Canis lupus familiaris: one gene and its partner. The protein of the gene in region 2 interacts with the protein of the main gene of each other region in a pairwise test. Links are inferred from orthologs where the notes say so. Each region holds a gene or a part of one and is shown on either strand. Other genes may lie near its edges.

Evidence for each region. The genes of interacting proteins can lie anywhere in the genome.
Region 1: the proteins of SWSAP1 (region 2) and ZSWIM7 interact in binary tests that used the Homo sapiens proteins (3 or more experiments, as listed by UniProt). The link is inferred for Canis lupus familiaris from reciprocal best matches to the Homo sapiens genes SWSAP1 and ZSWIM7.

What each region holds. Positions count from the first base shown.
Region 1 is NC_049226.1:40,091,634-40,097,664, reverse strand, and holds part of ZSWIM7 (zinc finger SWIM domain-containing protein 7), read right to left. Parts: intron 3,853-6,031; coding exon 3,750-3,852; intron 1-3,749. UniProt on the Homo sapiens protein: Involved in early stages of the homologous recombination repair (HRR) pathway of double-stranded DNA breaks arising during DNA replication or induced by DNA-damaging agents. Required for meiotic progression, hence for fertility.
Region 2 is NC_049241.1:50,347,867-50,353,765, reverse strand, and holds SWSAP1 (ATPase SWSAP1), read left to right. Parts: upstream 1-2,590; 5' UTR 2,591-2,636; coding exon 2,637-2,885; intron 2,886-3,504; coding exon 3,505-4,002; 3' UTR 4,003-4,209; downstream 4,210-5,899. UniProt on the Homo sapiens protein: ATPase which is preferentially stimulated by single-stranded DNA and is involved in homologous recombination repair (HRR). Has a DNA-binding activity which is independent of its ATPase activity.

The DNA.
Region 1 (6,031 bases), on a different chromosome or scaffold from region 2:
AATCTGAGTTAGAAAAGATTAGAATTGGAAATTGACTGCAGGGATCATCTAATTCAGTGGCTTCAGCCTTCAATGGAAAAAATGACCTCCTCTTACAGGAACTGCCCCCACTCTGCCCACTCACAGTCTGCAATGTTTATCCTCAGAAGGAGACAACTTTTTTAAAAAAAGATTTTATTTGCGAGAGAGCGCGCAAGCATGAGTGGGGAGGGAGGGCGCAGAAGGAAAGGGAGAAGCAGGCTCCCTGCTGAGCAGGGAGTCTGATACAGGGCTCAATCTCAGGACCCTGGGATGATGACCTGAGCTGAAGGCAGACAGTTAGCCAACTGAGCCTCCCAGGCACCCCAAGGAGAGAACTTTTTAAACAGAAAAATCTGGGAAATAGGAAATGGAGACCCATATAGACTTGCATGAGCCTCACTTGGAGGAAGTCTGCTGTAGTTCTGGTTGGGTTTTAAGGAGCATGACCCACCTAGATGGTCATCCACTCTCAACTACAGTTTTATTTTATGGCTGCTGCCAGCCTCTTAGGAGCCATTAGAATGCTCAACTGTATTATTTATTGTTCCCTGTGTTTGGTGCCTCTCTCTGAAAGAAGATTATAGATTCCTGCTCTATTAAATACCGGCTGGCTATGTGACCTGCTTTAGCCAGGAAAATGTGAGTAGCCAAGCAGAAACATTACAAATTGGCACAGACCACATCCTCTTTTCTCTCTGCTATGAGATCCACGATATTCTGGAGAAGGGCTGCTACACCAACTGGGATCCCTAAGTGGAGATGTTTTGGAGTAGAGCAGCAGTCCACTCTGAATGGGTATGAATGAAGCATGAATGAGACATACAACTTTGTTTCTGTAAGCCTTTGGCATTTGGGGGTCATTGTTGCCACAGCCTAACGTAGCCTCCTCCTGACTGATGCATCCCTCTTCCTAGGTAAACCAAAAAAGTTTACAGAAAAGCAACTCAGGTGACAACAACACAGTGGTGACTTTGGAATAATTACCATTGTGCCTGGAAGGCAGTAAGATTAGAAGGCTGACCTGTGGAAAGATGACTAATGGAGTATCAAAACAGTGTCTGAGGGATCCTTGGGTGGCGCAGCGGTTTAGCGCCTGCCTTTGGCCCAGGGCGGGATCCTGGAGACCCGGGATTGAATCCCACGTCGGGCTCCCGGTGCATGGAGCCTGCTTCTCCCTCTGCCTATGTCTCTGCCTCTCTCTCACTGTGTGCCTATCATAAATAAATACAAATAAAAAAAAAATAAAGTTGTTAGACTATTACAACTTAAAAAAAAAACAAAACAGTGTCTGACTCAACTTTTATCATCTCAGAGAACCTGTGACTTAAGCCAGATTCAGACTATATTAGTATACAATGAGACCATTAGGGCGTATATAAGATTTCTATAGCCTCATTTAATTCAAAGTCCAAACTGAAAGCTACAGTACTAGGAAGTTTGCACTTTTATGACAAATAAAGCAATGTAATATAATACAGGATGGGAATGATGAAAGTTAAACAAATCATGGCAATCTTGGGAGAAATAAAAAGTCAACAATTAAAATATGTCAAACAAAATCTTTAAGATTTTAACTAATGACTAGATCTTAGAACTAGAGAGCAGTTAGAAGTCTGTGCAGGTCAAGTGTTATGCTAATAGTGGAATGGAGACAAATCAGAAACCAAGAGATGTGGGAAAAACTCAAGGCCCTTCTTGTTCTGGGTATTTTAACTACATAAAAAAACCAAGATAAAAACTATGAGAAGTAAAATGGAAACACCTCATCAGGTGTAGTATCACTTAATAGCTGATTATTACATTTAAAAAAAATATTCATGAGAGAGAGAATGTGCGTGTGCACGCTTGCACAAGCAGGGGGAGAGTGAGAGGGAGAAGCAGGAAGGGAGAAGCAGGATCCACGCCCAACAGGGAGCCCAATGGGCTCGATCTAAGGACTCCCAATATCACGACCTGAGCCGATGGCAGCAACTTAACTGACTGAGCCACCCAGGCACCCCAATAGCTCTGATTACTAATCTCTAAATTCATCCTGACAAAATTCTAATAGGTAGTCTTTTTTTTTTTTTTAAAGATTTATTTATTTATTCATGATAGACAGAGAGAGAGAGAGAGAGGCAGAGACACAGGAGGAGGGAGAAGCAGGCTCCATGCAGGGAGCCCGACGTGGGACTCGATCCCGGGACTCCAGGATCAGGCCCTGGGCCAAAGGCAGGCACTAAACCGCCGAGCCACCCAGGGATCCCCAGGTAGTCTTTTTTTAAGTAAACATACAATCCAAAGGTTTTGACTCCAGCACTCAACATTAATTACCTCATTTTCTTTAATGAAGAAATGCATGAAGATTTGCCAGACTGGTTAAGTCATGCTACGCTGAGGAATGGCAAGTTAATTCACTAAGCAAAGGGACCGATTTGCCCAAGTTGGCTTTGCCTGCTTCATTCACTTGCTAAGAATTAATTGACTTGAGAGGCACATAAGTGGCTCAGTGGGTTAGGCATCAGATTCTTGGTTTTGGCTCAGGTCCTGATCTTGTTGTGGTCTTGAGACTGAGCCCCGCACTGGGCGCCCCATCAGTGCAGTCTGCTTCAGATTGTTTCTTGTTCTGCCCCTCCCCACTTGCACACTCTCTAATAAATACATAAAATCTTTAAAAAAATTTGACATGGTCTCAGCTCTGAGTTCGTCATAAATAAACCAGAATCCAAACACTGAAAAGCTTCCCCCTTCCTGATCTTCAGCAAGACCTACATTATATACTAGAGCTGATGGCTTCTTTATTCCTTCCAAGTGGGAATGAGATGGGAATGAGATGGGAGTATGGCCCAGTGTTTATATACAAATGGAGGCAGTTACAAATCCCAGCTGCCAGATATGACTATTAATTTACTTTTCTGCATCTCCATTTCCTGCAAGATAAACACCTTGTTGGGCTTTTTGTGGGAATTAGCAACAACGCATGGAAATCTTTCAGAGTCTGATAAGAGACTATTACTTTACAGATCTATGTATCTTAAATTCTAGAGGGCAAAACTGAGGTCCAAGTGGACTATCTGCATTCAGCATAGTTTGACCCTTAATAAATACTTCCTGACAACAGTTTAGAAAGATCACTGATAGATGATCTGAGCATGCAGGAGGACCTCAAAATGCATTCTGGCTTTTGCTTGTAGACAAAAGACAATGAACAAGGTAAAACTGTCAATACAGTTTTTTTTGTTGTTGTTTTTTTTTTTTTGTTTTTTTTTTGGTAAAGATGCCTGTTATCAAACACAGGGAAGCAAAAGTCAACTGTCTCCATGAGACTTGAGAAAACAGCCTCTCCACATCATTGCTGGTTCTATACATTGCTACTAGGTAGGGTTAATAGGTCTTATTTATCTTTTTTTTTTTTTTTTTTTTTTTAAGATTTAAGAGTGGGGGGGAGAGAGAGAATACAAGCAGTGGGCGGGGCAGAGGGATAGAGAATCTCAAGCAGACTCTGTGCTCAGTGCAGAGTAACATGGGGCTGGATCTCAAGACTGAGGTCTCAAGACCTGACCCAAAACCAAGAGTTAACCAACCGTGCCATTCAGGTGCCCCCAGTCTTATTTATCTTATTTTAATTACTAATACACTAATTTTACTAAGTTGGGTCATTGCTTTTCAGTAGGAACTACTGGGATCCATGAAAACATTTTGTGCTAAGGGGTTTCTGGTTGAGATAATCCCCACCTCTAGATTTCTACCTGGTAAACACGCCTCCCACTGGGCGATGAGATTAAGGTGATGGACTGTCGGTCCACGAGGTCCAAGGCCTGGATGGCTGATGGGCCGAAGATGAACTTCAGTCTGGGAAACAGAAAGGCTTCAGATAAGACTATCTTATCTACTCTCTCAGGTCACCTCAGGAACTTAACCCAAAGGATCACCATTGGCATTTTTTTAAAAATTGATTTTAATTTGGAAAAAAAAGAATATAGCAAGAACCTACATAATCAATCCCCTAGAATGTTAACATGTTTACAGATAAAGCCATCTTTACATTTCATAATACTCCTTGTTCTTCCCAACCTCCTTTCATCCCCAAGGCAACGATATGCATTTGTTGGTTTTCTTCCTATTAATGCTTTTTTATTTTATTATATGAAGCATACTGAATACATATACATAGCACACATGCATACACACACCTATGTGTATATACACATGCATGGTGCTGTTTCATGAGTTTTAGAACATAAAAGATAAATTGTAGGCTTTTTTGTCAACTTGGGTTTTTTTCTGTTCAATGTGCTTTTGAAAATGATGCATGTTGATATATTTTTTTAATTTAATTTTTTTTTTAATTTTTATTTATTTATGATAGTCACAGAGAGATTGAGAGAGAGGCAGAGACACAGGCAGAGGGAGAAGCAGGCTCCATGCACCGGAAGCCCGACGTGGGATTCGATCCCGGGTCTCCGGGATCGCGCCCTGGGCCAAAGGCAGGCGCCAAACCGCTGCGCCACCCAGGGATCCCTTAATTTAATTTTTGAATAACATTCCACTGTATGTTTGTAAGTACCCTGCTGGGCATTCTGATTGTTTCTATTTTACATTATAAATAATACTCAATTATCCCCATACATGTCCTTTAATGCACACATATGAGAATTCTTCCTGGTTATAGAAGTAGAATTGCTGAGCCTTAGGATATATACATTTTTCAACTTTAACAGGCGTTGCCAATAGCTTTCCACAGTGGAAACAGCAGTCCCACCAGCACTGTATAGGAGCTCTATTTTCCCCCCATGCTAACCACTACCAATATTATCAGTTTCTCATGTTGACCACCTGATGGGTATTAATTTGTACTTTTTGTATTAGTAATAAAGGCTACCCACTTTTAAATGATAGATCAGAAAAAAACTGGTATGTGGGAAAATTTTTACAATAGGTGAGAAAGGATGGGCACAAAATAAAACATTTAATTTAAAAAAGAAGGCAATAAACCAAACTCTTCAGTTATTAGCACTGGGTGGTATGATTGTTGATGCTTTTCATGTTTTATTTTTCAAGAACACTTTTTTTTTTTTTTTTTAACAAGGAAGAGTCATTTTTATAAACTGGAGAATAAAATGGGTGAGTTGAACTGAAACAGAAAAGTTAAATGTTTTAAAGAACTCATGTGATCTGACATAAAACATGAAGACAGAGCTACTATCTTCAAAATTAAAATGTTCAACTTCTTCATTTTCCAACAAACTAGTCTCTTGATACAAAAACCTATTAGAGGGCAGCCCAGGTGGCTTAGCGGTTTAGCACCGCCTTCGGCCCATGGCCTAATCCTGGAGACCTGGGATCGAGTCCTGCATTGGGCTTCCTGCATGGAGCCTGCTCCTCTCTCTCTCTGTCTCTCTCTCTGTCTCTCATGAATAAATACATAAATAAATCTTAAAAAAAAAAAAAAAGCTATTAGAATGGGAAGTTTCAAAAATTTTTTTTTATCAAATATAACATTATCTCTGGACAAAGAAAAATAAAATTTGGTCATAACTTTGTCAATTAATCACAGGTTGGGCACCTGGGTTGCTCAGTGGTTGAGCATCTGCCTTGGCTCAGGGCGTGATCCTGGGGTCCTGGGAGAAAGTCCTGCATCAGGCTCCCCGCAGGGAGCCTGCTTCTCCCTCTGCCTATGTCTCTGTGTGTCTCTCATGAATAAATAAAATCTTTAAAAAATTAATCATAGGTTACTTTATTTTTTTTTCCATAGGTTACTTTAAAAATGAATCTAATAAGAATTTTTAAACCTGCCTTTGTAACTTTATAACTTATTGTGAACACCTGAATATTTTTTTTTATTCACTCTTAAGGGTTAAAAGAATTCTACTGTAAAGATGAATTACCTTGCTTTTTTCCCAACTCTATTTTTAGATAATTAAGGTTTATTAAATCTAATGTGAGATTGTTTCCAGATGGTTTTGTTTTTGTTTCTGCTACTACAAGCAATATTGGATAAATATGCTCACTGTAAAATCTTTATGAACAT
Region 2 (5,899 bases):
GCTTATAATGTAAGTCAGACCACAACCCTTCTCTTCTCAAACCCTCTTGTGGCTTACCCACCATGCATCCTGGTAAAAGCCAAAGTTCTCCCGGTGCCTCAGGGCCTTTGCACATAAAGGTGCCACCACTTGCAATTCTCTTCCCTCACACATCTACATGGTTTGCTCCCTCAGCTCCTTCAAGCCTTTTCTCAAGTGTCACCTTCTCAGGCCTGCCCCTACCACCCTATTTCAGATTGCAAAAACCAAACAACTGGTCCTTCCAACTTTTTCTCCCCTGTGCAATTTTTTTTTTTTTTTTGCATACACTTGTCATTCACTCACAGGCTATTTAAACTCATTATGTTTAGTGGTCATTATCTTCTCCCTCACTAGGATGTCCACTCCACGAGGACAGAGACTTAATTGTCTTTTCACTTCTGAAGCCCTAGTGCCTAGAACAGGGCCTGGCACACAGGAAAGAAATGAAATGAATTAAATAAAATTTTATGAAATGAATTACTTAATCACTTGATGATGAAAAACAAGGGAGAAACAGAGACTACCTCTGAGCTGTCTACTCCCCTGTCCCTTCACACTTTGATCCTCCCTCCTCCTGGGACCTTCTCTACGGTAAGGGTCCTTCTATCAGGACATGAAGACAGGCTTCTGAGAAGTGAGAGGAGTACTATGTGTACAAGAAATATGCCAAACATCTGCATCTCTGCCCATGTACTCAGTCTACATTTATGCGCACTTGCTGTGTGCTAAATGCTGTTCCAGGGGCTAGGGGCCCAGCAATGAACAAAAGAAAGAACCTCCCTGGTGGAGCTGACATTCTAGTGAGGAGAGAGGCAATAAGAACATAACGTTGGAAATGACAAGTAATTTGGAAAGAAATATAGATAAGCAGTTAAAATGTGTAGGGCATGCAATTTTACACGAGTGATTAGGGAAAGCCTCTCTGAGTAGGTGATATTTGACCAAGACCTGAATGGAGTTGGAAAATGAGCCACAGGGAAATTTAGGAGCTGAGTGCTCCCAGTAAAGGAATATCGAGTCTAGTGGGGCTGTGTTGGGCATGCTCCCATGTATGTAACTGCACGACTATGTGATACTAGTGTCACTACTGGGTGCTTGTGCATTTGGAGTGTTGCAAGTTGAGGTGAAACATGGGTTGTGCATCTCTTGGTGGGGGGATTGAGGTGGTGTGTTTCACAAGAAATGTAACAGTGTGCTTTGTGTATGTGTGTATCGAAAGAGTTGCAGGCACATTAGCTGAAAGGAAGTGTGTGTGTGTGTGTGTGTGTGTGTAATAGCAATTGTTTGGTTGTATCAGAGTGTGTCCTAATCTGTGTGCAAGGGAAAGGATGTGGGGATGTAAATGTGGGAGGAAGTGGATATGGGATGCTTTGTGTCAAGGTAGGATAGGGCTGTCAGCATGTGGGTGATGGGGGTTCTGAAAGTAGAATATATGCAGAGATGCCATGGTGTGTGTGTGTGTGCGCGCGCGTGCACACAAGCACGCGTGCATGTGTGTAGAGGGCTGTGGAGGTGCCTGGCTGTGTGGGTGGGTGTATTGGGGGATGTTGTAGATCTGTTTTCTGGCCCCAGAGGGAGAGAGAAAGCCCAGGAAATATCAGTTCCGCCGCCCCTGGGTCTCCTGGCAACAGCACCACTTTGAAGTTACCAGGAGACAGAGTTGCCAAAGCAACCGGGCTGAGTGGCAGCTCTAGGGCGAAGTCTGGGTGAGGAGACCTAGCCAGCCATCACTTAACCACTCATCTTGTTCCTCCTCCTTTCCCAGTTTCTCATCAGTCCTACTTCCTTTCTTCATTCATTCGTTTAACAAGCATATATTGAAAATTTACAACGATCTAGTCGCTGTTCTGGGCGATGGAAACACTTAAGTGAACAAGACAAGATCTCTGCCTTGGCTGTCCCTCAATCTCCCACCCTGTGTGACTGTCTACCTGCACTTTCTTTGGTTGATGGTCATGCCCGACCCCCTTGCCCCAGGTAAAACCCAAGCAGCTCCCAGGCCAAAGAGAAAGCCAGCTGAGACTCCTCTTCTCACAGACCCTCAGAGGTGGCTGCTGCTGTTTTGCACGAGGATGTTCCTGAGCCTGCAGCCTCCAACACAAGCTTGTGCCAATACTAAGGTGCAGAAAAGGAAGCACACAAGCTCCTCCATTATTCACCTTCCCAATTGTCATTAGGTGACATCAGCAGAAACACACACAGACCCATTCATCACAATATTCCTCTGAGATGTCAGGAGCTCCATTTCACAGATGAGCAGACTGAGCCTAGGAGACTTTAAGTAATGTGTTACTGATTAGGGCCTGTTTCCTTCAACTCCCAACACTTATATTTGTTTGATTAGCTGACTAGTTCACAATAATGATAGTCGTGCTGCCTCCCTCGGCCGACTTGCGCAAGGGAAGGGTCTTTTCTCCCTCAAATGCCAACATTCCTCCTCCCTCGGACTGTTATTTGCCCCTTCACGAGGGGAGAAGCTAGTCCAGGCCAATCTAACTTTGATGGCAGATCCATGAGCCAATGGAGAAGCTAAGTGCATTGTAACCAATGAGACCCCGGGTTGGGCGGGACTAAGGGCGGGGGCGGGCCGTTGATCGGACAGAGGCACGTTGCGAATGGCGGAGACGCTGAGGCGGGTGCTAAACCAGGGCAGCTCGGCAGAGTCCGGGGAGGAGTACACAGCGGAGGCCGGGCCGCCTTTACTGCTGCTCGGCGGCCCAGGCTCCGGAAAGACCGCGCTGCTATTCGCGGCGGCCCTGGAAGCGGCAGGAGAGGGCCGAGGCCCCGTCCTCTTCCTGACCCGGAGGCCTCTCCAAAGCCTGCCTCGCGGGACCGGAGCGGCGCTCGACCCCCTGCGGCTACAGGTAACCGAGGGGTGGGACCGGAGGCGGCCTAGTTCGCACCTGAGCGGATCAAGGCTTGAGTGACAGTCAGACAGACCAATGGAAGGGACGACGGGAGAGCGAGGCGGGGCGGCCATTGTGGGGCGGAGTCAGGAAGGAGCCGGGACGGGAGGGCGGGGGCGGGACCAGAGCAGGCGTTGTTGAGACTGGGAAACCATCAAAAAAAAAAAAAAAAAAAAAAAAAAATTAAAGCGGGACGCCTGGGTGGCTCAGCCGTTGAGCGTCTGCCTGTGGCTCGGGGGGTGATCCCGGAGTCGCGGGATCGGGTCCCGCATCGGGCTCCCCGCATGGAGCTTGCTTCTCCCTCTGCCTGTGTCTCTGCCTCTCTCGCTCTCTCTCTCATAAATAAATGGATAAAATATTTTTTAGAAAATTAAAAAAGGTCGGGAAAGCGTCCCAAAAAGGGGGACGGGATGAAGGGAAGAGTATTCCACCAATTCTGAGCTGCTTCACTCTGGAACCAGCTACCCGGGTGGGGTGTGAGCGCCGAGCACAGGAAATACAGGGAAGCGGGGCAGCTGGAGCTGGGAGCCTGGCTTCCTGAGCTGAACCTAGTGTTTTCTCTTTTAACTCACTTTAGAAGATACGCTTCCAGTACCCACCCTCAACCCATGAACTCCTTCAGCTTCTGTGCTCTGCCCATGAGGCCCTGGGCCCAGCCCCCTCCCTCCTGCTGCTGGATGGCCTGGAGGAGTACCTAGTGGAAGACTCTCAAGAAGCGGCCTACTTGGCTGCCCTGCTTCTAGACACAGCTGCCCACTTCAGCCACCGGACTGGGCCTGGCCAGGGCTGTGGGCTCATTGTGGCCCTCCAGATCCAGGAAGAGGAAGAGAGTGGGGATGGCCTGCAGCTGTCGCTGCTCCAGCGGTACTTCCCTGCCCAGTGCTGGCTGCAGGTGGATGCACCAGGCCCAGGACAGCGCGGCCTCCGAGCCTGCCTGGATTCAGGTGGGCTGAGCCCTAGAGCAGAGTGGTGGGTGGCTTTCCGACCAGATGGAGAGATGACAATCACCCCATGGCCTACCCAGTCTGGTAACCCCAACTCAGACAAAGGTTCAAGTTCTGGAGGCCAGCCTTGAGCTTTGATGTGTGACACCCTCTTTGTGCCTCAACTGCCCATGGCTGGAATACTTACTTCAGGGACTTGTACAGATTCAAAGACCTAAAGAACAGTGCTTTTTCTCTTGAAACAGAGCATTACCATGTACCTATCATGCCCAATCAACATATTGTTTTGCTGTTTTGAACTTTATAAAATGTTTCGTGATAAATGTAATCTTCTAAGACTTCTTCTCCCACTCAGCATTATTATTACGATTAGTTCAGGGGCACCTGGGTGGTTCAGTGGGTGAAGCATCTGACTTCAGGTCAGGTCATGATCTCTGGGTCCTGGGATCGAGCCCCAGGTCAGGCTTCTCACTTTTTCTTGCACACATGCCCTGGTTCGTGTGTATGAGGGGTTTTAGGGTATACACCTAGAAGTGGAATTGGGAGAGAAGTTCTGCATGTGTTCATCTTTCCTTGGTTATGTCAAACTTTTAAAAAGTGGTTAAACCAGAACTGCCAGTGAAGCCACCTGATGACATTGGTCCCATCAGAGTACTTTCTTAGAACAGGGCCTGATTCAGAATAAAGCCTTACAAATTATTGTTATTCGTAGTGGCAGAGACTAGCTAGAGGCTCATTCAACGACTTTCCTCTCCTGGGCTGTACTGCTAAACTGCATTTTTTCCCCTGCTGTCCATGGTTCTAGCTGGGGTCCTGTGACTATTTCTGGCCAGTGGCATTTGTAAAAAAGAAATAGATACTACTTCTTAGGCTAAGTCCCTAAAATGGCCCACCAAATCTTCTGCGATTTGTTTTGCTTATTGGTTGGCAAGATGCAGAGAATCCATTTAAGGTGGCCCCGGGGGATGGTGAAGTTATAGACCAAGAGAGTCTGGGCTGCTGACTCATCCCAGAGATGGCTGCCCACTTGTTTGCATTGAAATATGAGAGAGAAAGCATTTGATGTGTTAAGCAGTCACATTTAGGAGTTTTTTGTTATGGCACCTAGTATAACATATACTGACTAATTCATTTTATTATGATTGTTATTGAGGTGGTCAGGTCCAGAATTTCAGACTGAGCTTGAGACCTTTTACTGCTGCCCCTATGGCCTGGGTCCAGGGAAGGATGGGGCTTACAGGGTGTTTGTAGAAGTCATGATAGGAACAAAAAATACACACACATACACACACACACACAACTCTATACATTTCAAAATACTGCAAGGATGTACTGAGCAGGATGGGCTGGGCAAAAGCCAGGGTTAGCCATGTCCCTAGTCCTGAGGGAGGCCTCACCAACCCTGCTCCATAAGTCTTAGGCCTGGACTAGTACTTGAGGTCATGCTGAGTCTCCAAGCATCTGAAGACTGGAGTCCTAGGAACAGGCCACGTAGCCGGGGGGTGAAGGCTCAGGGGCTGGGATGAGGTTGTTCTCATAAGGGTTTAAGAAGGGGCTGTTCAGTGAGTCCCCCTGGGCTCCCTGGGAGCCCCCTGAGCTGTAGTCAGTTGAGATGCCAGAGTCAGACACCATGAGGTACAGGTACTTTATGTGGGGTGGGGTGGGGGGCAGCTCAGGGGGCAGTGCCCTTGGGCACAAGAGCTGGGAGCTGGGATCCAGGATGGTATACTCAAAGCTGGCGCCCAAGGCCCCCTCTGGCCCAGGCTTCAGGGACAAACCAGATGAGCAGGAGGATGCTTCTGAGCCTTTATCCATGGCTACTATGTCCAAACTGCCACCAGACTGTGAGACATCCTCACTGGACGGGTTCCGGGGCAGCAACCACTTGTCCAGCACCAGGTACGTGTCCTGGGAATGTTCACTGCCCACTGGCTCCAGCAGGGGCCCCTCATCATCTGCCCCTGGCTCCACTGCTTGTGGTGCCCCCCAGCAGCGTTCAGAGAGGACTTCCAGGGGTGCGGGTGGGTC